Linked DNA regions of Elephas maximus indicus. The protein of the gene in region 1 interacts with the protein of each later gene in a pairwise test. Links are inferred from orthologs where the notes say so. Each region holds a gene or a part of one and is shown on either strand. Other genes may lie near its edges. The genes, in order: PTPN6 and leukocyte-associated immunoglobulin-like receptor 1.

Region 1 (12,099 bases):
CAAGCTACAAAACGGCCTCCCCACCCGGGCCCCCACCGTATGGAAAGAGAGCACCGTCTCCTGGGGCCTACAAGACAGCCACCCCACCCGGATATAAGCCGGGGTCCCCGCCCTCGTTCCGGACGGGAACCCCACCAGGCTACCGAGGCACCTCGCCACCCGTTGGCCCAGGGACCTTCAAGCCAGGCTCACCCACTGTGGGGCCCGGGCCGATACCGTCCGCGGGGCCCTCAGGCTTGTCCTCCCTGCCACCACCGCCTTCGGCCCCTGCCTCAGGGCAGCCCCTTAGCGCCACACAGATCAAACAGGAGCCGGCTGAGGAGTACGAGCCCCCCGAGAGCCCGGTGCCACCGGCCCGCAGCCCCTCACCACCTCCCAAGGTGGTAGACGTGCCCAGCCATGCCAGTCAGTCTGCCAGGTGAGTGGCCTGGGCGGGGTGCGGGTGGGCCGACGACGAAGGGGTGACAGCGGGAGGAGGGAGTAGGCACGGAAGGGGCTTTGCATTCGTGATGTTTTTCAAAGTGCTGTGGGTCCTCTGCCCTCTAGGCCCTGAGGGGACTAGGGGACAAAAGCTCACGGCCTGCGGGGACTGCTTTTGGGACTGTGGGGTGCATAAGGCTTCTTGGGGCTGCATCGCCGCGGGGTCGCCGGGGCAGCTCCAAAGGGCTGAACGCGCGCCGCTTCCGCGTCCGACAGGTTCAACAAACACCTGGACCGCGGCTTCAACTCGTGCGCGCGCAGCGACTTGTACTTTGTGCCGCTGGAGGGCTCCAAGCTGGCCAAAAAGCGGGCCGACCTGGTGGAGAAGGTGCGGCGCGAGGCCGAGCAGCGCGCGCGCGAAGAAAAGGAGCGCGAGCGTGAACGCGAACGCGAGAAGGAGCGCGAACGCGAGAAAGAGCGCGAGCTCGAGCGCAGCGTGGTGAGTGCGTCACAAGATGCGCCACCCGCCTTCTTTCCCTCCTTTGCGCTGCCCAGGGAGGCTGGCTCAAAGGGTGGGGGAGTGGTGTCGCCACCTGTCGGAGAGGAGGGATCACTACAACTCGAAATAGAGACCAAAAGGATTCCAGCTGAAGGAATCTTTTTGCATTAATGGTTTGGGGGAAGGCAAGGTCAGGTGGGACTACCTGTGGGTCTCAGGAAGGGCAGCTATCCAGGGGGGCAGAGAAGTTCCTGGTAGTCATAGTGCTGGTGTTGTGAGGCATTTTGGTAATCAGCTGCTGAGACAAATGGGCAGCTAAGAACTAGCTACTTTCCAGAATTGCCTTTTTGATTGCATTTCTCCGTGTGTCCCACAGAAGTTGGCGCAGGAGGGCCGTGCTCCAGTGGAGTGTCCATCTCTGGGCCCAGTGCCCCATCGCCCTCCATTTGAGCCAGGCAGTGCTGTTGCTACAGTGCCCCCCTACCTGGGTCCCGACACTCCAGCCCTGCGCACCCTCAGCGAATATGCCCGGCCCCATGTAATGTCTCCTGGCAATCGCAACCACCCATTTTATGTGCCCCTGGGGGCAGTGGACCCAGGACTCCTGGGTTACAATGTCCCAGCCCTGTACAGCAGTGACCCAGCTGCCCGGGAAAGAGAGCGGGAAGCCCGTGAGCGAGACCTTCGTGACCGCCTCAAGCCTGGCTTTGAGGTGAAGCCCAGTGAGCTGGAACCCCTGCACGGGGTCCCTGGGCCAGGCCTTGATCCCTTCCCCCGACATGGGGGCCTAGCCCTGCAGCCTGGCCCACCTGGCTTGCACCCTTTCCCCTTTCATCCAAGCCTGGGGCCCCTAGAACGAGAACGTCTAGCACTAGCTGCTGGGCCAGCCCTGCGGCCCGACATGTCTTATGCCGAGCGGCTGGCAGCTGAGAGGCAGCATGCAGAAAGGGTGGCAGCCCTGGGCAATGACCCGCTGGCCCGGCTGCAGATGCTCAACGTGACCCCCCATCACCACCAGCACTCCCACATCCACTCGCACCTACATCTGCACCAGCAGGATGCCATCCATGCAGGTGAGACCCCCCATCTTCCTGCCCTAGCCTCTTTACCCTGGCAGGTGACCAGGTTCTTCTGTTTCTCAGGCGAGACCTTCGCCTGACATGAGCCTTTTTCCTGCAATTGCTGCCTCCTCTCATCCTCCCAGCCTGTCTTCTCATGCCCTAGCCTAGCTGCAGAGCCTATATGCCCCACACTCCGGGCCTCTCCTTAGTCTAGCATCCCACTCATGATAGAGGCCCAAGCTGGAGCTCCGTGAAGGAACACCACCCTTCTACCCTTACAGCTCCTTTCCCCAAGCCCTTCACTTACCTGTTTTCTTGTTCCTCCATTTTCAACTCTATTGTGTCTGCCACTCTTTCTTGCAATCTTCTCGTCCCCTTCCAGATGGAGGTCTTTCACATTCCTCCCCACCTCTAGATCTGTTATCTTCCAGAAAGAACCCCACAGCTTTGGCTTTGGATGTTATAGGTGATAATGAGCTTTACTTACTGTCCTTTCACCATATTTCTTATTGTCCAGAACTTTGCTTTGCATAGCCTTACAGCTGTGTTCATCCTAGGCTCCCTTGTGCCTTCTCTCTTAACCTCCTTTGTCTTTCTGTCTCATTGTTTAAACTTCCATTTATCCTTCCTCATTTCCTCTAAGCAGGCTGATTCTTTCCTTCCTTTTGCTCAGACCCCTCTGGCAACTATAATTTCCTGTGTTCTCTCATCCATATACTTCAGTGGGGTCTAGTCCTGTCCACCTTCCGACCCCCCTAGTTCTTTCATTCTGCCTTCTATTCCGTTCTGGATCTCCCTGTTTCACTGCCCATTTCTCTTCCCAGGTTTCCCTTCATCTAAATGTATAGTCTTCCCAAGCCTGCCTTCTGATGACACCTTCTTCTTTGCCCTCTAGCCTCTGCCTCGGTGCATCCTCTCATTGATCCCCTGGCTTCAGGGTCTCACCTTACCCGGATCCCCTACCCAGCTGGGACCCTCCCCAACCCCCTTCTTCCTCATCCTCTGCACGAGAATGAAGTTCTTCGTCACCAGCTCTTTGGTAAGGATAGAGGTTGGGAGCAGGGAGGCTTTTAACGAGGGAAGGGCAGAAAGAAGGAATTTGAGTAGTAGGATCGACCTAGCTGGGCTTTGGGAGGGATGAGGAAGTGCCCAGAGAAGCTGGGAATGGGAGTAGGAGAGCTGAGGCCCTGTCTCAGCAGGCATATGTTTTCATGCTGGGCTACAGAGGTTTGCATCCTGGCTCCTACCACTGACAACTTGCAAGACTAGGTGTGTTACCTAAATTCTTAGTCTCGGTTTCCTCTGTATGTAAAGTGACTGGCTGTCCCCTGGCCCATAGTGGGTGCTCAGTACCTATCAGTCATGTGCTTCTTGCCCACAGCTGCCCCCTACCGGGACCTGCCGGCCTCCCTCTCTGCCCCCATGTCAGCAGCTCACCAGCTGCAGGCCATGCACGCACAGTCTGCTGAGCTGCAGCGCCTGGCACTGGAGCAGCAGCAGTGGCTGCACGCCCATCACCCCCTGCACAGCGTGCCACTGCCCGCTCAGGAGGACTACTACAGGTATGGGGTACCCTGGGCCAGGAGTGGGGAAGTGGATTCTGCCAGCCTGGGATGGGGCTTGGGCATGGGATAGTAGGGCTCTAGGCTCCTGGAAAAAGAACGCCCCACCCGCATCTGTGAGAGGGGCCAGGTCAGGACTGACCTCAGGCTCATCTTGGCTCTGGACATGCCCTCTCCTCCTAGTCACCTGAAGAAGGAAAGCGACAAGCCGCTGTAGAACCTGCAACCAAGAGAGCAGCCATGGCCCCTGCATCTGGACCTTGGAGCCCCCCCCCCCCTCAGCCTGCCACAAAGAACCCAGGAGAGAAAACTGCTCAGTTGCAGGGCCTTGGCAGCTGGGCAGTTGGGAAGAGGAAGGGACAGACAGAAGGCCAAGGCTGGTGTGGGAAGGTGGGGAGGTGGGGAGGGTGGAGCAGAAGCGCACAGTATCTTGGACCAGGTCCCTCTTCCTTGTACCCCAGCTTTCCTCCTTCCTCAAGCCCAGACCTTGGTGGCCATCGCCCCCTCCCCCACCCCGTTGGTGTGATTATTTCATCTGTTAGATGTGGCTGTTTTGCGTAGCATCGTGTGCCGCCCCTGCCACCTCCCCCAAATCCCTGTGTGCGCACCCCCTGCGATGTATGCCCATCCCCCTCTTCCACATTAATAATTTATATATATAAATATCTATATGATGCTCTTTAAAAAACATCCCAACCAAAACCAAACAAACATCCTCACGTCTCCCCCGGAAGATGGCTACGACTCTTTCTTTGCGGGCTGTGGGGTGGGGTGGGGGTCTCTGCGCAGCAATGCCCAGAGAAAAAGCTGTGGAACCTGAGATTGGAGAAATGGGAGGGACAGGACCTGGGGAAGGAACTGGGTGTAGGGAGCCTGCAGAGCTGGAGAGGGGATCTTGGAAGAAGGATGGTTATACTGGGCAGGAGCGCCATGCCCCACCTGGGGTGCTGCCACTGCACGCCTTCCAAGGCTGGGGAAGTTGAGCTGTTAACAGGCCTGCAACAGGCCCGCCTGTGACATGGTCCTGTCTAAGGAACTACCCTTAACCCTTGGGGGTGTTCCTGCCACTGTTCCACAACTAGGGGCCACCAGAGTCCTCTGGAACAAGGGTTTCAGAGCTGGATCCTTTCTGTGGAATAGTTTGAGACAGTTATGAAGTGGATGTGGGCGTAGTTTCAAGTAGGTCAATGTGATTAGAACTCTAATTACCCTTCGGTTTTGAAGGAGTGGGTGACACTTTCAAAGGGCTGGAGGGGAAATAAGGGCGTTACGCTGCAGCGCCCACCCCTGAACAAGGCCATTTTAGGAAAGCACAAGAGATGCGCTTGCTCCCAGCGTTTATTGCTGCGAATCACAGGCTTCGTTCTTAAAAACTAAGGGGGGGGTGTGTGGCTGGCTGCTGTTTCAGCCAATCAACACCGCGCTCATTTGCATAGGCTCGTAACAAATGTTCACAAACTCTAGAAATGAATAATTGAAGTTAGTTCCTTAGAATATTGTTTTTTCTATTGAAAGCTAGTGGGCTCCGCTGCTTAGACATTACTGACTATTCAAAAAACTCCGCAGTCAGCTCACCCTCAGCTATAGTGGAGTCCAAGGATATCCCACGTTCTCTCCAAGACATATTTCTTCAGTGTTACAGCTCTTTTAGAATTTGTCTAGTAGGTCTTCTAGTTTTTCTGGAAGACCCTCCTTATGTGTTATTTTCAACAATAGACTTAGGTTTATTCGGGTGTGTGTGTGGTTTTTGTTAGTCCTGTTGCGTTAAGATATAAAACCCGTTCTGGTTATTTAGTTTTCCTGGAAGATTCGCGAACTGGGCCATTAAAACTACGCGGTAGCGGCTTCCGGCTGCGGCTGATGCTGCTTCCCATCCGCCCCCCACCGGCCTTACGAGCAGCTGTAGGAGGTGGCTTTTTCTTGGGGAGCATTCCCGCGGCTTCGCAGCACGTGCGGTTTTTTAGTTCTATATGGCGTCTGCCTCGGCCCAACCCGCGGCCCTGAGCGCCGAACAGGCCAAGGGTGAGAAGCATCCCTAATCCCCGGGGTGGGCTGTCTGCCGGGGGAGGATACGGCCGAGGATAGGGAGGGCAATGGCTGCAGTCGACCGGTGTGGGGGGTCCCCGCGTACCATTACTGTCCTTCTGTTAACTGGGGTCCTTGCGCCCTGGAGCGAAGGATTCCGGGACCGGATTTATCGGGTTACCAACGGCTTAGTCCCCTAATTCTCTGTCCCTTTCCCTGGGCTCTCGACCGGGCTCGCTGGTGGTGCTCCGACGCCTACCACGGTACACCTTCCTGGGGTGCCTCTGGGGCGCAGTGGTGTTGGCCGAGGTCATCCAGGCGTTCTCGGCCCCGGAGAATGCCGTGCGCATGGACGAAGCTCGGGACAACGCGTGCAACGACATGGGCAAGATGCTGCAATTTGTTCTGCCCGTGGCTACGCAGATCCAGCAGGAGGTCATCAAAGCCTATGGCTTCAGCTGCGACGGGGAAGGTGGGTTGGACGGGCGGCGTCAAGGTGGGTCGGGGAGAGGGCGCTGGATCGGCTGGGCCCCTGAACTGTGGTTCCCCTTGTTGCCACACGGCGGCAGCCACAATCTGACTAACAGCATTGGCACTCAGGGCGCAGGGTCTACCCTGAACTTGTGCCAGGCGAATTCCTACAGGAGCATTTTGTAGTTACCGTTAATCACTCTAATATCCTTCTTAATCACTCTAATATCCTATTTTAAGATGAGAGACAGAGTCCAATAGTAAAGTGGCCAGGGTCACAGCAGAGCTAGATTTGAACCCAGTTCTGCTAGCGTTTTAGTGAGAAGGCTGCATCACGAGAGCTAGCTCTGCAGCGCCTCCAAGGTGTTGAAACGGTAATCTCTGTTTGGGGGTTGGTGGTGAAATTTCCTTGGTGAAGTCACGCTGCGTCGCAGCCCTCCTGTGCCCCGTTGTAGACCTTGGACCTTGGACCTTGGACCTCTTGGGTATTTATACTTTGGATTCTTGTGACTAAACTGCTAAAATGGCTCACCTGAGAGTGAGATGCACACTGCTTCGGATATTTTTCAGTCACTGTATTCCTATCCAGCTGTGCTCAGCGTGGACCAGGAAGTGGTTGATCCAGGCCACACCGGAGAGAGGCCAGCCTGTGTCCTGTTTCGCAGACAGCTACCTGGCCAGTTGGGGAGCAGCCAGTGACTCATATCCCATCCGCATACTCCTCCCACCATCTTGGGTATGCCAGTCACCAGGGTGTGGGGTTGACTCTCCACTCCCCCTTGTAGGTGTCCTTAAGTTTGCCCGCTTGGTGAAGTCCTACGAAGCCCAGGATCCTGAGATTGCCAGCCTCTCAGGCAAGCTGAAGGCTCTGTTCCTGCCGCCGATGACGCTGCCACCCCATGGGCCTGCTCCCGGTGGCAGCGTGGCTGCCTCCTGAGGGGCTTGGCCCTCCCCTGTGCCCTGTGCTGATAAGGGAGTGGAAGACCTTAGCTTCCCAGAGGATAATAAATGTGCCTGTGACTTGGCCTTAGTGTCAGTCTTTTGATACCTTAACAGCCCCCCACCTCCTGTCTCCAGATTCCCTCACCAGTCCAGGCTGCCCCACCTCTCCCTTTCCAGATCTTTCCTATGCTCCCTGCTGGGCCCAGCCCTGCACCAGGCTCCTCACTTCTCCCCACCCAAGGAAGGGTAAGAGGGTGGGCTGGCCCTTCGACACACTGGGTGGGTGGGTAGGTGGGTGGAAGGGCCTGCATGGTGGTGCCTCCTCTAAGGCATTGGGCTTCCAGGGCTTTTACTTAGGCCCCTTGGTACCCACATTGGTCGGTTTTCCCTTAGCCAGGGCTACTTCCTGGTCTTTGCCCCATCTGCCCTCCCACTGCTCTGCCAGGTGGAGCTCTGGGTGGCTCCTCCCCTCAAAGGGAAGGAGGCCCTGGACAGGCTGACAGGCCTGCTGGACGACTGGGACTGGACCACTGAGCGGGACTAGAGGGGGAAGTGGGAAGTGGGCTGCTGTGGGCTGCCTGAGGCTAACCCCGCCCCACCTGTCCCTGCTCCAGGATCTTTAAGTCCAGGGGCTTGTCCCTGCGGTGCCATTGGCCTGGCAACCTGGTTTGAGGAGGAGGTAGCTGAGTTCTGAGTATTCTTCCTCACCTGGCCTGGGTCACTGTGCTCTGCTGTGGCCCTGGCTTGGCCCCACCCCCTGCGGCTCTCTGCCTGTTACTCCCCCAAACTTTCCTGGGAGATGCTGTCCCGTGGGTAAGTCCCCTGCCCCACCTGGGTCCCACAGGCTCCTGTTAGTTTGGGAGGGAGGGTTTCATGCTCATTCCTGACAGGCTATGTGACCATGAGCCTGACTGGGTCAGCTTCCTGTTCCTACATACCCTTCATCTCCCCAAGGTGCACGGACCCGCATGCTCATTCATGCTCCTCTGCCCCCTGCCTTTTTTATTATACTTTATGCCTGACAGAGGTATGGTCTATTCTCACTGTCTCACATTTCCACCTCTAGCCTCTGGTCCCCTGCTTCTGCCTCCTGCTTAGGATCTACCGCCCCTAGGTAACCCACATCACCTCAAGCATGACATTTCTGAAAGGCAAACCTGAGAAAGCTCTCCCCCGTCCACTCAGCTCCCCCCCTGCGCTTCCTAGTCTCTAGGTTTGGTTCCCTTAACTGCCCCCTCATCATTCATTCAACAAATAAATATTGAGCATCTGTTATGAGCTCAGGCTGCTAACCAAAAGTTTGGCAGTTCAAATCCACCAGCTGCTCCTTGGAAGCCCTATAGGGTGGCTATGAGTGAGATTATGTGCTAGGTACTGTTTAAGGTGCTGGGAATACTGCAGTAAATAAGGCAAAAACAGTCCCTGCTCTCATGGAGCTTACATTTTAGTGTGAAGTTGCAGACCAACCAACCCAATAAATAGAATCATTTCAGATATTCATAAATGTTATGCAGAAAATGAAACAGCTTCATATGAGAGTAAGTGCCAGGGGGGCCAGGGGCATTACTAGCTGGAATAATCAGGGAGGGCTTTTCTAAGGAGGTGGCATTTGAGCTGAGGCCTGGATGGTAAGGAAGATCCAGCCATGTGGTGATCAAGGGTCTAATATTCCTGACAGAGGGCATGGCAAGCACAAAGGGCCTGAAGAGGGAAAAAACAAGCAAAAAAAGGGCAGTATGCCTGAAGCAGAGTCAGCTAGTGGGAAGGGAGGCAGGGCCAGGGCAGGTTAGGCCTTGTTGAAGCATGGTTATTTTAAGTGAAAACCTGTTTAGAGAGTGTTGGTGAGTTTGTGGGTTGGTTGGCCCTCAAGTCCTGCTGATTGTTGCTTCCCACACTCACACATCTGCCCCTTCCTTTCTCTATGCTGCCTCCCCCAGTGCACGCCCTTGTCACAGTCAGCTCCACTGACTGGGTTCTTACTGAGTCTTCTGGCCCTTGATCCCTTCCATACCCCGCCACGTCATTTCCCTAAAGTGGCTTGGCAAGGCCTCCACCTGTGCAGAATCCTTCCTTGGTTCCTCAGCCTGGCCTTGTAAAACCCTCCGTAACTGGGTCCAGACTCTCAGAACAGCTTTGCTCTGGCCGCCCTGCTCCACTCACACCCCAGCCCTGCTCCTCAAGTGGGTCCTATGCAGGCCACCTCTGTGGCTTCGCAGATGCTGCCCCTGGTGCAGTGCCTGCTCACCTCTCCTCCATAATGGCTGTTCGGTGCCCACCCCACCTGCCCGCTGAAGCCTTCTGCAGCAGCATGGTTGGTGTGGTAGAAGGGGCAAGGCTCTGGTTTGTCTGCCTTCCTACTCAGTAGCTTGTGACCTTGGGCAAGTTCCTTAACCTTCCTCTCAGTTTTTGTTTCTAAAAATAGACTAATAATGCTAAGTAGAGTTGGGAGGCCAGCGGTGGTTCAGTGGTAGAATTCTATCCTTCCATGAGGGAGACCCAGATTCGATTCCAGGCCCACGCGTCTCATGCACAGCCAGCGCCCATCTGTCAGTGGAGGCTTGCGTGTTGCTGGGATGCTCAGCAGGTTTCCACGGAGCTTCCAGACGAAGATGTTCTAGGAAGAAAGGCCTGGTGACCTACTTCGGAAAATCAGCCAGTGAGAACCCTGCGGATCACGATGGTCTGAATGGCTGTGCGTGGGGTTGCCATGAGTTGGGGACCAACTTGGCAGCAGCTGGCAACAACAACAACAACAAAATAGGGTTGGCATGAGGATTAATGATATAATGTAAAATCTGTTGGCACTAAAACCCTACTACATATCAGCTCTTTAAGTATTTGGGAAATGCTGTTAAGCCCATCTTCGAGGTGGGGATACAGAGGCTCGGAGAAGTTAACTAACTTTCTAGAGGCTATTTCACCTTGTTTGCTCTTCCAGACTGCCTGTCTTCCTGATCTCTATCTTTATCTCCCTACTTCCCAAAGGGGTAATTTTCTCTTCTGAATTACCACGCACTTAAATTTTTTTTTTTTTTTTTTTGCTTTTCTAACTCTCAGTCTCCCTGAGCCTGTACCCTCGTTTTAAAAAGTGGGGAAAATAATTCCTACATCACAGGGCTGTCTGAGGCCCAAAGGAGAATGTGTGTGTGCTCTGCAATTCTAGAACACTATGCCAAGGTCGTTATTATTTTTTATTTTCCTGCCAAGGGGCAGCAGGGACCATACATCTTGTTTGAGTCTGTCTTTTGGCTTGGGACCCTTCAGAGAAATTCCTGCCTCTTGGATGGGTCAGGAGTTTTGGGGTGCCTCAACCTTGGTGGGTTTCCTTCCCACCAAGTGGGTTTAAGCCCCAGAAGGAGAGTGGTTTATGGCCAGGGTGCAGCGGGTGTTTGGTTCTGAACATGGACCTGGAACTTCGTGTGTAGTGAGGACTGTGTGTCCGTGTGTGGGTATTCGCGCCAGATCAGGTGTGTGTGTGTGGATAGACACGGACAATAAGATGCACGTAGTGGGACCGTTTATGCATAAGTGGTGTGCTTATGTGTGTGTGTGTACTCATCTGTATATGACAAGCAGGATGTGTGTGTGTGTGTAGGACCAGAAGGCTGTACTTGTGACAATGTACGTACATGTGTATGATGAGTTTGTTTATTGGACATTGACTCTGTACCAGTATTGTGCTAGGCTTTGGGCATTCTGAGGGACAAGTCGGCCTCAGCACAGTGGGGGCTGCACATGCTTTTCCTGCCCCGTGGGTCGCTGTATGAAACTGCAGGGGTGGTCAGTGTTGAACTACACCATAGACAGACCAAGAAGTTCCCAGGACATAAGAAAGAGGGGAACACACACACAAAGCAGGGTGTGGGGGGTGGGGAGGGAAAGCTTTTTTTTGGAAGCTTCAAAAAATGATCAAAGTAGTTGTCACTGGAAAATTAGACTTTTGTTGGGCTTTAAAACTCTGTGGAAGCCCTGGTGGCATAGTGGTCAAGAGCTACGGCTGCTAACCTAAAGGTTGGCAGTTCGAATTCACCAGGTGCTCCTTAGAAACTGTATGGGACAGTTCTACTCTGTCCTATAGGATCTCTATGAGTCAGGACCGACTTGACAGCAACAGGTTTGGGTTTTTTTTCGGTTTTTTAAAAGTTTGTTATTTATTTTCTTGTTAGTTTGTGTTGAGGCATGACATATATAATGTGCGTAAATATTAAGTATACGGTTTCATGAACTTAACATTTATACATGCTCTTGTAAACACTACCCAGTTCAAAATGCACCCTCAGTGCCCAAGAAGCTTCCCAGAAATTGCTGTCTCCTAGTCAATTTATTTATTTTTATAAAGGTAATATATGTCCATAGTGTAACATTGAAAAAGGTATTAGGGAGAAGCAAGTGTCTCTTGGAGACAGAGGTGGTTCAGTGGCAGAATTCTCCATGCCGGAGACCTGGGTTTGATTCGCAGCCAGTGTATCTCATGCGCAGCCTCCACTCGTGTGTTTGTGGAGACTTGCGTGTTGCTATGATGCTGAACAGGTTTCAGCGGAACTTCCAGACTAAGATGGACTATGAAAAAGTCCTGGTGTTTCCTTCCGAAATCAGCCAGTGAAAACCCTGTGGATCACAATGGTCCGATCCCATTGCCCATGGGGCTGCCATGAGCTGAGGTAATGACAGCTAACATGGCAACATGTCCCTCCCAGGCCTATTCTCCAGCCACCCAGTTTCCTTTCCTAGAGGAAGCCACCAATATGTGCATCCTTTGTTAGGCTTCTTTCCTCTTGTTTTGGTTTGGTGGTCTTGGTGTTTTGAATTACATACAGACAGCATCATAAGCTTTTAGTATTTAGGGCCTCTAAAGGTCAACCAGCTCTGAGACTATCAGCCGTATCAAGGACCTCAGCCCCTCAGCCCCCAGTCCCCAGCCCCCAGGAGACAGGCCACCTGGTCAGAGTCCTGGGAGCCCTGAGCTCTGGTTGATTCAGACCAGACCTGCCCAGAGAAAACCTGTGGCTTTGGCATAGGTTGGAGGGGAGGGGAAGCTGTCTGGCTGTGTCCCTGACCTGCTCCACGAGATCTGTGTCCCTTCCCATTCTGTTTCTTGGATCAGCCTACATGGTGAGGG
Region 2 (12,416 bases), on another chromosome or scaffold:
AGAGCACAATTAAGTGTTCTAAAATTCCCATTCTTCACAATGTTATCCATAATTTGTTATGATCCACACAGTCTAATGCCTTTGCATAGTCAATAAAACACAGGTCAACACCCTTCTGGTATTCTGTGTTTCAGCCAGGCTCCATTTGACATCAGCAATGATATCCCTGGTTCCAAGTCCTCTTCTAAATTTGGCTTGAATTTCTGGCAATTCCCTGTCAATATACTGCTGCAGCTGCTTTTGAATGATCCTCGGCAAAATTTTGCTTGCAAATGACATTAATGATATTGCTTGATAATTTCCACATTCAGTTGGATCACCTTTCTTGGGAATAGGCATAAATAAGGATCTCTTCTATTTTTTTTTTTTTTTCCTATTTGGTTGGCCAGGTAGCTGTCTTCCAAATTTCTTGGCACAGATGAGTGAGCACTTCCAGCACTGCATCTATTTGTTGAAACATCTCAATTGGTATTCCGTCAATTCCTGGAGATTTGTTTCTCGCCAATGCCTTCAGCGCAGCTTGGACTTCTTCCTTCAGTACCATCAGTTCCTGATCATATGTTACCTCCTGAAGTGGTTGAACGTCCACCAATTTTTTTACTATAGTGACTCTGTGTATTCCTTCCATCTTATTTTGATGCTTCCTGCATCATTTAATATTTTCCCTGTAGGATGCTTCAGTATTGCAACTCAAGGCTTGAATTTTTTCTTCAGTTCTTTCAGCTTGAGAAATGTTAAGTGTGTTCTTCCCTTTTGGTTTTCTATCTCCTAGTCTTTGCACATGTCATCAAAATATTTTACTTTGTCTTCTTGAGCTTGCCTTTGAAATCTTCTGCTCAACTCTTTTACTTCGTCATTTTGTTCTTTTGCTTTAGCTACTTGATGTTCAGAGTTTTTTATGACATCTGTTTAGGTCCTTTCTTTCTCTCCTGTCTTTTAATGACTTCTCGCTTTCTTCATGTATGATGTTTTTGATGTAATGCCACAATTTGTCTGGTCTTTGGTCATTTGTGTTCAGTACATCAAATCTATGCTTGAGATGGTCTCTAAATTCACGTGAAATATATTCAAGGTCATACTTTGGCTCTTGTGGTCTTGTTCTAATTTTTTTTCAGTTTCAACTTTAACTTGCATATGAATAATTGATGGTCTGTTCCGCAGTTGGCTCCTGGCCTTGTTCTGACTGATGATATTGAACTTTTCCGTGGTCTCTTTCCACAAATGTAGTCTATTTGGTTCCTGTGTATTCCATCTGGTGAGGTCCACGTGTGTAGTCTCCATTTATTTTGGTGAAAAAAGGTATTTGCAATGAAGAAGTTTGTCAATTTTGTTGATACTTTCAAAGAACCAACTTGTAGTTTTGTTGATTCTTTCCATTGTTTTTCTGTTCTCTCTTTCATTTATTTCTGCTCTGATCTTTATTATTTCCTTTCTTTTGGTGGCTGTGGGCTTCTTTTGCTGTTCTCTTTCTGTTGGTTTGAGTTGTGTAGCTAATGTTTTGATTTTGTCCCTTTCTTCTTTTTTGGTGTGCGTATCTATTGCTATAAGTTGACTTCTGAGCACTGCCTTTGCTGTGTCCTAAAGACACGGTATGATGTGTTTTCATTCTCATTTGATTCTAGGAACTTTTTGATTCCATCTTTGATTTCTTCTATTATCCAGTGGTTTTTAAGAAGGGCTTTATTCAGTTTCCATGTATCTCATTTTTTTCCTTGTTCTTCCTGTTATTAATTTCTACTTTGATAGTGTTGTGATCAGAAAAGACACTTTGTGTTATCTCAGTGTTCCAGATTTTGTTGAGGGCTGCTTTGTGACCTAAGATGTGGTCTATTCTGGAGAACATTCCAAGTGTGTTGGAAAAGGATGTGTACTTTACTGCCATTGGGTGGAGTGTTCTATATATGTCTATGAGGTTAATTTGGTTGATTGCTGCCCTTAGATTTTCTGTATCTTTGTTGATCCAAGTAAAATTGTTTGAGGAAAATGTGCCATGCTTACCCTGTGGTGAGGTGCTTTCTCCTTACACCTCTAAGAAGCCTTGGATACAAGTGTACTCCACTTTGGGGACAAAAGTCTTAGAAGAATGTAAAGGTAGAGGGGTCTTCTGAGAATAGTGAAGAGTGACAGCTTCACATTAATCTCCTTAAGGAAAAATCTGCAATAACTGCTCTAATGAACCATATGGCCTTGGTTTGTGGAGGAACCTATAGATGTGAATGCTTTCACTATTCCTTTTTTATGTGGTCAGCAGAAAGCCTGTCCCCAGATCCTCACTTGGCATACAGTATTCAGGTTTGGTGACAGCACCCATCAGTCTAACCAGGAAAACAGAAAACTTTTCTATGTATTTAAAAGAGGAGGAGCTAAATGTAATATGGTACCCTGAATTGGATCCTGGAACAGGAAAAGAAGATTAGTGGAAAAACTAGTGAAATTCACATAAAGCCTGCAGTTTCATTAATTAAATAAACTTAGGCTTCGTTGGTTTATTAATAAACCAACATTAATTTCTTGGTTTTGACAAGCGTACCACAGTGTGTAAGATGTTAACATTAGGGAAAGTTCGATGAAGGGTATATGGGAACTGTCTGAAACTTTGCAAATCTAAAATTATTCCCAGATAAGAAGTTTATTTTAAAAAATTGTTTAGCAAACAAGTAAGTATTTTACAAAAAGAAAAAATAACCAGTAGTTGTCAGAAGGCAAAGAAGCGTAATGAATCTTTTGCCAGTGATAGAAATCTTGAATTTGATGGTGGTTTTAGGGAACTGTCGAAAATAATTGAATTGTATATATTAAATGGATGCAGTTGAATGTTTATAAATTATTCTTCAATAAAGGTGATTAAAATTTATTAATGTCTGGGGGAGGAGGGAGGAAAACACAATGCTTGGGGTACACTGAGCTTCTGTTAAGGGTGATGGTATAATATGGGAACGAATAAGGATGATGGTTGAACAACACGATGAGCATAATGTCACTGAACTGTACATGTGATGATTGTTGAAATGGCCAAGTATATTTATCCCATTAAAAATATTTACTGATGAAGGTCTTCCATAAAGAGATGAGGATGATTTAATGCATAGAAGCCATTGTCCAAGTGTAGAAATGGCACAGGAGCAGAGTCTGACCTCCTCTAACTTCACAAGGGGGAAGGAGAATCAAGATCAATAGCCCAAAGCTGATTCCTATGATGCAGAGGTCAGACATGCCTCCTCTCCCTGCCATCTTTACTAATTTAAACCCCAATTTTCCCTCCCATAGCACTCTGTACTTCTCTGTTGGGTTTGATAACTCATTGCAATGGCCACCCAGAACTCACAGACAATACTCACAATTATGAGGTTTATTAGGGAAGTAACACTTATAATTCAGGCTCAGTAACACTCAGGATACAGTTATTCCCATCAGGATAGCCTCTTCCCAGCTGTGCTAGGAGAAACACCTCCCCTGGGCCCTCTGCCTCTTACCAAAGGCACTCAGGTTTCTCTCTCTGTGGGCCAGGAATCCCACCATGTTGTCTCCTGCTGCTGGCCTCTGCTGTTGAGTGTCTGTGCCGAGTCTTCTGTCTTTAGAGTTACAGCTCTCTGTCTCCTGATTCCAGGAACTTTTCAGCAGGGCAATTCAGTGTCCAAAGGGTGTGCTGGATCCTGGCTGTTCTTCCTTGGTGTGGTAGGATCCTCTCTCTCCCACCTCTAGGGTGGCTCATTTCAAGCCCAGTAGGGTGGCAAAACTAACCAATCCCTTTGGTGGGCTACTATTACCTATCACATAGCCCCACCCAGTCACTTGGGTGGGGGTTACAAGACCATGGCTAGAAAGACTGCACAAAAGTGAGCCATCTCACTGCATCAAGTGAAAGAACTGAGAAGCAGAACAGGGGAGAGGGATGCAAATTGAGATTAGCAAGTGTAGGGAGGTGGAGGTCCATAGGGAGCAGGCAATGCTACTTGAACCCATTGGGAGAGGTCACCATATAAAACTCAGAATTATGCCTGACAGAAACTGGAGCCATGGGACAGAAACCGTTGTCTAGGTCTTGAGTGTGTTAGAACGTGGGAAAATAGCCTGGCTCCACTCTTCTCCCCACTCTGCTAGTTTACAAAGGAGCTTAGGAAAGGTGGTGTCACGATCACTTCCTTGACATTAGGCACAGCTTGGGGGATGGATCTAACCATAAATGGACCAAAGACTAGCTTTGTAAGGAATGGAGACATAAAGCCACTAGAGGTGGGAAAGCAGAGAAAGGGGACGAAGCAATACCCAGAGGTAGAGAGGGGATTGAGAAAGACAGACAGCAAAAGAGAGGGAAAGAAACCCACAGAAGGACTGTCATGGATTGAATTGTCTTGCCCCAGAATATGTGTCAACTTGATTAGGCCATGATTCCCAGTATTATGTGGTTGTCCTCCATTGTGTGATTTTCCTATGTGTTATAAATCATGATCTCTGACTGCGGTTAAAGATGTTTACAGTGGGATGTAACACCCTTGCTCAGGTCACACCCTTGAGCCAATGTAAAGGGAGTTTCCTGTGGTGTGGACTGCACCACCTTTTATCTTATCTTACAAGACGTAAAAGGAAAGGGAAGCAAACAGAGACTCAGAGACCTCATACCGCCAAGAAAGCAGTGCCAGGATCAGAGTTCTTCCTTTGGACCCAGGGTCCCTGAGCCTGAGAAACTCCTAGACCAAGGGAAGACTGATGCATTACACGAACCTTCCTCCAGAGCCGACAGAGAGAGAAAGGCTTCCCCTGGACCCAGCGCCCTGAGTTCAGACTTCTAGCCTACTGGACTGTGAGAGAACAAACTTCTCTTTGTTAAAGCCATCCACTTGTGGTATTTCTGTTACAGCGGCACTAGGTGATAAAGACAAGGACATATACAATGAAAAAGACCAGACAAACAGAAATACATAAGACTGGCTGGTATTAGTGATTTATTTTCAGGAAGAAACTTTTTAGTTCTTGCTTTGTGGTAAGGAGTCCCTGGGTGGCGCAACTGGTTAAGATCTTGACTACTAACTGAAAGGCTGGAGGTTCTAGTCCAGGTCAGAGAGACGTCTCATAAGAAAGGTCTGACAATTTCGTGCTGAAACGTCACAGCCTTGAAACCCCTATGGAGCAGTTCCACCCTGATTCACATGGGGTCGCCATGAGTTGGAATTCATTCAAAGGAAGCTGGTTTGGTTTTTTGGTTTTCTTAATGCTAAGTTTCAAAAACAGATGTGTTCCTTGTAGCCCTCGAAAGTTGGAGAGTAATTTCAATCATTCTCACTACAAAGTGGAAGCTTTTGGAAGCTGGCTTAACTAAGGGAATGGGTCCCTAGACTCCTTAACTGGGGCGACCCCTGGGTTTTATCTTTTGCCCCCTATAACATACAAGGCCATGAAAACAAAACTGGATTCATTGCCCTCAAGATGAGAGCCAGGTTCAGAGCTTGGTTTGACTCTGAGGCTTTCACCTCCCATTAATATTTGTGTGTATGTGTGTGTGTGGTGAAAATATACACACCAAAACATAGGACAATTCGAAAATTTCTACATGTAAAATTCAGTGACATTAATTACATTCTTCATATTGTGCAACTATTATCACTATCCTTTTCTGAGTTATTCCACCATCATTTACATAAACTCAGTGACCCCCTAAGCAAAAACTTCCCATTTTCCCCTCCTTCCTACTTCTGGTAAACACCGGTAATCTGTGGTTTCTATATAAGCGCCTGTTTCACATAAGTGAGATCATGTAGTAGTTGTCCTTTTGCGGTTGACTTATCTCACTTAGCAAATGTCTTCAAGGTTCCTCTATCTTGTGGCATGCATCAGGACTTCATTTCTCTGTATGGCTGGGTAGTATTCTATTGTGTGTATATACCGCATTTTGTTTATCCATTCATCTGTTGGTGGATGTCTCTATTGTTTCCACCAGTTTGACATATTTGATGTGCTAAATACCTGGCTCAGGGCCTTGGGTAGGGAAAATGGTTAAGCACTTGACTATTAGCTAAAAGGTTAGTGGTTTAAACTCACACAAATGTGCATCAGAAGACAGGCCTGGTGATTTAACTCCAAAAGATCAAGGCCTTGAAAACCTACGAAGGACAGTTCTACACTGCACAAATGGGTCATCATGAGTTGGAATCGACTTAATGGCAACTAACGACAACACTATTAAATACTTGGAGGAGGGTTTTATGTTTCCCGTTTTTAATATGAGGAACTGGAGACTTAAAATAGCATCACGTCTTGCCCAAGAACAGATGGTAATTAGTTCGTGGAGTTGGGACTGACGTTCAAGTCAGTTTGATTAATAACCTGTGTTCAGCCTGGCCCCATAGATTTTGCGTTAACGTGTAGGGGATTTGATCTAGAAATAAATTCAGTCTCGCACAAGCATTTGAATATGAAATATTTTTCAGCAGCCAAGTTGTTCCACAGCCTCCGACCCTGTCCTTTCGGGGGGAAGGGTGAGAAGAGTGCAAAGTACTGAGGGAAAAAAATACTCTTCCTCTTTTTGGGAGGCTGTTGCTATAGAAATCTCAAAGCAGAGCCCCAGAAATACATCCTGTTTGCTGTGTCTGCTTCAGGCCTCTGCCCATCTCCATCTGCTCCAGGGCAGGCCAGGCTTCCGGGACTGTGTGATGTCTCTTACACCCACCACTTTCCTGGGCCTTGGTGAGTCTGGGACCGAGGAGGGAGAATTAGAGGATGGGGGAGTCCAGTCTGTGTCGGGAGTCCAGTTCCTTGCTCAGTACTGACTCCATCTGGGAAACTCTAGGACCTGGGCAAGAAAAGCTCTCCTCTGCATGGGTCTGTGCACTCAACTCTCTTTCAGGTCTAGGTCTGACCACAGAAGGCTTCATCTCAGAACCCAGTATTGGGGGTGGGGACGAGTTCAGACTTAAGAAGGGCTAGACTAATGTATTTGGAAAGGGGGGGCTTGGGGATTTGTCTTGAAACTATTTCAGAGCAGGAAGAAGGGTTATATATATAGTCAGACTAATGTTGGAAAGGGCCGGTTTGGAAATTATGGGTGGCTAAATTCCCTTTCAGGTCCCTGGATGGTTGTCATGGATTGAATTGTGTCCCTCCAAAATATGTGTCAACTTGGTTAGGCTGTGATTCCCAGTATTGTGTAGTTGTGCTCCATTTTGTGATTGTAATTTTATGCCAAAGAGAATTAGGGTGGGATTGTTTAACACCCTTACTAAGGTCACACCCCTAAGCCAAAGTAAAGGGAGTTTCCTCGGGTGTGGCCTGCACCACCTTTTATCTTACAAGAGATAAAAAGAAAAAGAAGTGAGCAGAGAGGGGAGACCTCATACCACCAAGAAAGCACTGCAGGGAGCAGAGCGCCTCCTTTGGACCTGGGGTCCCTTCATGGAGAAGCTCCTAGTCCAGGGGAACACTGATGAGGAGGCCCACCGAGAGAGAAAGACTGCCCCTGGAGCTGATACCCTGAATTTGAACTTTTAGCCTACTTTACTGTGAGGAAATAAACTTCTCTTTGTTAATGCCATCCACTTGTGATATTTCTGTTATAGCAGCACTAGATGACTAAGATAGTGGTGCAAATGGTTTGTGCTCCGCTACTAGCTGAAAGGTTCGCAGTTCGAAACCACCCAGCAGGACTTGGAAGATGAGCCTGTTGATCTGCTTCAGAAAGGTCACAGCCTTGAAAACTCTGTGGAGTAGTTTTACTCTGCACACATGAGGTTGCCATGAGTCTGAAAGGAATGGACAGTAACTAACAATAACAATGATGACAAATCCCCTCTTCCCCCATCAAAGCCTTCCCTTGGTAATATCCCTGTTAGGATATAGGGTGGTAGGCATTTTTCTCACTGGGCCTTCTCTTCCAGTGCTCTGTCTGGGACCAGAGATCCAAGCACACAATGGTGAGTCATGTCTTTAAACTTCCCAGCTCCCTCTCCACTCCAAGGGCAACTGTTGGGTAAGAGTGATGCTGACTCAGGAAGGGACTGGGGGGAGACCCTTAGATATACCCCAAATTGCAAATGACTCCACATGTATGACCCTAGCCCAGTTCGCTTTACTGTTCTCCATCTGTCTTCTTATTAAGAAAACAAAAACAGAAAAACATTTGCTATCTAACTGAAAAAAACCAAAGCCATTGCCGTTGAGTCGATTCTGACTCATAGCGACAGTAGTTGACACCAGTTCATGATGGCGACTCAATGTGTGTCAGAGTAGAGCTGTGCTCCATAGGGTTTTCAACGGCTGATTCTTTGGAAGTAAATGACCAGGGCTTTCTTTTGAGGTGCCTCTGGGTGTATTCGAACCACTAACCTTTCAGTTAGTGGCCAAGTGCTTAACCATTTGCAACAACCAGAGACTACATCTTCTTAGAAGCTCCACTTAATGCAGCAAAACCAATTCAGATTGAACATGCTCAAAGTTGGCCATGAACTCCTCCATACAAGCCAAGACCTCCCTATGCATCCTCTTTACAGGGAATATTACAGTCCCAAAAGGCAGAATCTGAGAATTCATCCTAGATCCCGTCTTCACACTTCTACATGTTGTATATCACCAAAGAATGTTGATTTACCGCCTACATTTTTCTCAAGTCTTCTTGCACACTCTCTCCCCAACTGCATCCAAGCCACTTCCATCTCTCAGTTACATGGCCGCTATTCCCCCCACCCCTCTGTGGGCCTGCCTCCACTATCTACCCATGCTATCTTTTCTACCACTCCCTCTCCACACCAAAGCAGTGGCTATTTGCATTTTAAAAGCACTACCATGATCGTTTTAATTCACAACAAATTATTTTATGTAAAAAATGTTCACTTATTTTATATTTTTCATTATTTCTTTAAATTTTATTTTTCACTTATTTTTATTTCATTTTATTTATTTTTTCAGTTAAAATTTTTTTTTAATTGTAAGGCAAAATTTTATGTTTCCTTGAAGTCCTCCCAGGGTTTATCTTCAGATAGAATCATACTCTCTTTTATCTGACCTCTATTTTCTCAGGCACACCTGGCCCCCATGCTACCACCTCACTTATCTCCAGGCACCCTGGCTTTCCTTCAGGTTTTCAAACACCCCATGTTTGCGCTGCATGACTTTCTCGTACACTGACTTCTCTTCTACCCCCTATCTGCTCAGCAGAGATAACTCATCCCTCAGGTCTCAGCTTAAAGACCCTCAGAGAAGAGTCAGTGCTCCCTTCAGTTGGCTCTCTCAATACCTGGACTCACCCATGAGGACACTTGTCACAGTTTGTAGTGTAAATTTGGACAATTACTGATCAGTGTCTGTCCTGCTTCCTAGGCTTTTAGCTCTAAGAGGGCTGGGATGATACCTGACCTTCTCATAATTGTGGAATTAGTGGTACATGCAAAGAATATATAAGCTCAGAGAGGGAAGGAACTAGTATTTAGTTGAAGGAATGAATGAGTGGGTGGGTGAATGAATGAGTGAGTGAATGAATGAATCAGAGAATGAGTGAGTGAAGGAATGAGTGAATGAAATGAATGAAGTGAGAACGTGAGTGAATGAATGAATAAGCGAAGGAATGAATACATGAATGGAAACTCCACCAACCCAAGTCATGGGGCCAAGGCCCATCCTGACTCATTCCCACCCGATTTTGCTAACTTCAATGCAACGTTCTTGTATCTGGGCTTCAAACCCCTCTCTCCGCTACCCTTGTCAGCCAAGTTGAGAGAGGCCAAGATTTTTCAAGAAGCTTAATAAGGAGGAAATGGAAATAAGGCTCAGATGGATGTAGAAAATACACAGGAAAACCCAGATATGATTGCTCAACAGAAGATTTGCGTTAGAAACAGGGAGCCTTCTTTTGCTGGGTGTCCACTGGGAACCACGCCTGTGCTGGGCGTGTTACCCATACCTCTCCTTGGGTGCCTATAAGAGCTTTGCAGGCCCCCGGCCCTACACCTCACACAATCCCAGTGAGGACTGGCCCCAGCCCCAGACTCATTCCTGCCAACCCCAGACTCCTCCTTCCCTTAGATGTCTCCATGAACATCCTGGCCATCCCCATTCTTTGCCTCCCCCTGCTGTCTCTTCATTCCCTGGAATGTGGCCATGAGCAGGGACAGAGCTGGGCTCTGCAGAGACGTGTGGGATCTGGTGTGGTTTTGGGACACACATACTTCCTGAGTGGCATGAGAAAGACCCAAGGTGTGACCAAGTCTCTCTCTCTTTATTGTCAAGTAGAGAAAACACTTCGTCAGTGATGAGAATTAAAATGGATGTGAGGAGTCTTTTGGGGACGATGGAAATGTTCTAAGCTTGAATTGTGGTGATGGTCGCACAACTCTGTAAATTTACTAAAGCAAGTGCATCGTACAGCAAAAAATGGGGGAATTTTATGGAATGGTGATTTCCTCACGAGTGGACTCTGAGGTGTTTGCTCTGATTCCTTCCTAGGGAGCCTGCCTAGACCCTCCATCTCAGCCGAGCCAGGCTCTATGATCCGCTGGGGAACGCCTGTGACCTTCGTGTGCCAGAGCCCTCGTGGGGCTGAGGCATTCCGACTGGAGAAGAGTAAAAGTAACTCATACCAAGATGTGAAGCTCTCTTCTGGGACTGAGAAAGAGGCTAGGTTCCGCATCAACTCAGTGACGACAGACACTGCAGGGCGTTATAACTGCCTTTATTTTACAGGGAATACCTATTCTGAGCGCAGTGAGTTCCTGGAGCTGGTGGTGACAGGTGAGGAGGCATCCAGAGCCCCTACCCCTCTCAGACTCTTTCCTCATGTTTGTACCCAGGTCCTGGGTCCTGTCCCCAGCTCCACCATCTCTCCGCAGACCCCCACCCTCCTCCAACCTCTCCTCCCACACCTGTCTGGCTCCCTCAGTACACCTGTCCCCTCTGACTTCAGACACCGCTGAGGTTCATGGAGACTTGTGTCTCGTGTGGACACAGTGGAATACCTGGATATTCAACTCCAGCATCAAAAGGTGGACAGTGTTGGACACTGCTCGATGGGCTGGCAAGTGGATTCCCAGCCCCCTCTGGTTCCTCTGTCCATAGAATGGTTGCAGGATGGATTCCCTTCAAAGGAACGTGCATCTTTTTGCCCGGGATGGCATGTTAAATAGTCCCTTAAATTGATCCAGAAGCACTGTGACCTCAGGCAATATGTTGTCCTGTGATGTGGTCCATCCCTCCCATTGAACGGATCCACACTGTCCAGAGATGGCCTGTAGACTAGGGGTAGACAGTCCTTTGGGGGAACCTATGGGGTGAGACAGGCACTGCCTTGTGTGTGCTCAGACCCTGGTGAGGTCCTAGAGTCAAGGTCCAGTGAGGAGGCTCCAACCCAATGCATGTGGTCCCAGGGCCTCCATGCTGATTCTATGAGGTCAAGAATGTTGGAGCAAGTGTCTGCTCTTCTGCCACCTTCCCTACCTGTGTCTTTTGCCCTTGATCTCACCTACCTGGGCTCAGATCTTTGAGTCTCACAGGAAGTGATAGGACCAGGGTCAGAATACCACCACCCTGGACATGGGACTGAGGTTGGGGAAACGACCAGACAACTCATGATGGAGGTGCAAAGGGGGTGATCAGCTCTCTGCAGAGTGACACAGGGGGATGTCTTTCTCAGGTCACTTCTCCTGGAGTCATATTCTCTGGAACTGGAAAGGCCAGGCTGAGTGGGGCTGACCATTAGCAGCCTCTATATAAACTTTTTTTTTTATATAAACTATAAACCCTTCTTCTGTCCCCGTTCACAGGAGACCATGGATCTTTCAGCCCCTCACCCACAGTACTCCATTCCTCACCTGTTGAGTGGCAGAGTTCTCAGCCTGGAGGTGGGTTATTAGGGTTCCCTGTGTTGGGATTTAGGCTCTGGGGCTCATCCCTCTACCCTGGGCTTAGAACCAGGGACCAGTAATATCAGAATAAGAACCGACATCCACTGGATGAGGGATATCCCAAAGACTATAGTAACACTAGCTTTGAGTGAAAACTAACTCTATGCCAAGCACTACTGAAAATATATAATTCTCACAGCAACATTATGAGGAAGGTATGTTACCAGGTGGGATCAGTCCCTGGAAAAGGACATCATGCTTGGTAAAGTAGAGGGTCAGTGAAAAATAGGAAGATCCTCAATGAGATGGATTGACACAGTGGCTGCAATAATGGGATCAAGCATAGCAATGATTGTGAGGATGTGGCAGGACTGGACAGTGTTTTGTTCTGTTGTACATAGGGTCGCTATGGGTCAGAACCAGCTGGATGCACCTAACACTACTCTGCTTCTATCCATCACCCATTTTTTTAAATTTTGATATGCAGAAACTCTGTTAAAGGTTCTTGCACTGAGTCACAGGGCAATTAAGGGGAAGAGTCTGAATTCAGCCCTGGAAGCCAGATCCCGGATGTCAGAATTTAATGCCTCTCTA

The links.
Region 2: the proteins of PTPN6 (region 1) and leukocyte-associated immunoglobulin-like receptor 1 interact in binary tests that used the Homo sapiens proteins (3 or more experiments, as listed by UniProt). The link is inferred for Elephas maximus indicus from reciprocal best matches to the Homo sapiens genes PTPN6 and LAIR1.

What each region holds. Positions count from the first base shown.
Region 1 is NC_064822.1:63,737,303-63,749,401, forward strand, and holds the start of PTPN6 (tyrosine-protein phosphatase non-receptor type 6), read left to right. Parts: upstream 1-7,478; 5' UTR 7,479-7,779; coding exon 7,780-7,793; intron 7,794-12,099. Other genes in the region: ATN1 (atrophin-1), read left to right, coding at 1-418, 697-919, 1,296-1,992, 2,876-3,019, 3,362-3,542, 3,726-3,759; C4H12orf57 (protein C10), read left to right, coding at 5,513-5,564, 5,863-6,039, 6,824-6,975. UniProt on the Homo sapiens protein: Tyrosine phosphatase enzyme that plays important roles in controlling immune signaling pathways and fundamental physiological processes such as hematopoiesis.
Region 2 is NC_064829.1:92,515,609-92,528,024, forward strand, and holds the start of leukocyte-associated immunoglobulin-like receptor 1, read left to right. Parts: upstream 1-6,569; 5' UTR 6,570-6,647; coding exon 6,648-6,681; intron 6,682-7,868; coding exon 7,869-7,904; intron 7,905-10,428; coding exon 10,429-10,713; intron 10,714-11,741; coding exon 11,742-11,819; intron 11,820-12,309; coding exon 12,310-12,416. UniProt on the Homo sapiens protein: Functions as an inhibitory receptor that plays a constitutive negative regulatory role on cytolytic function of natural killer (NK) cells, B-cells and T-cells.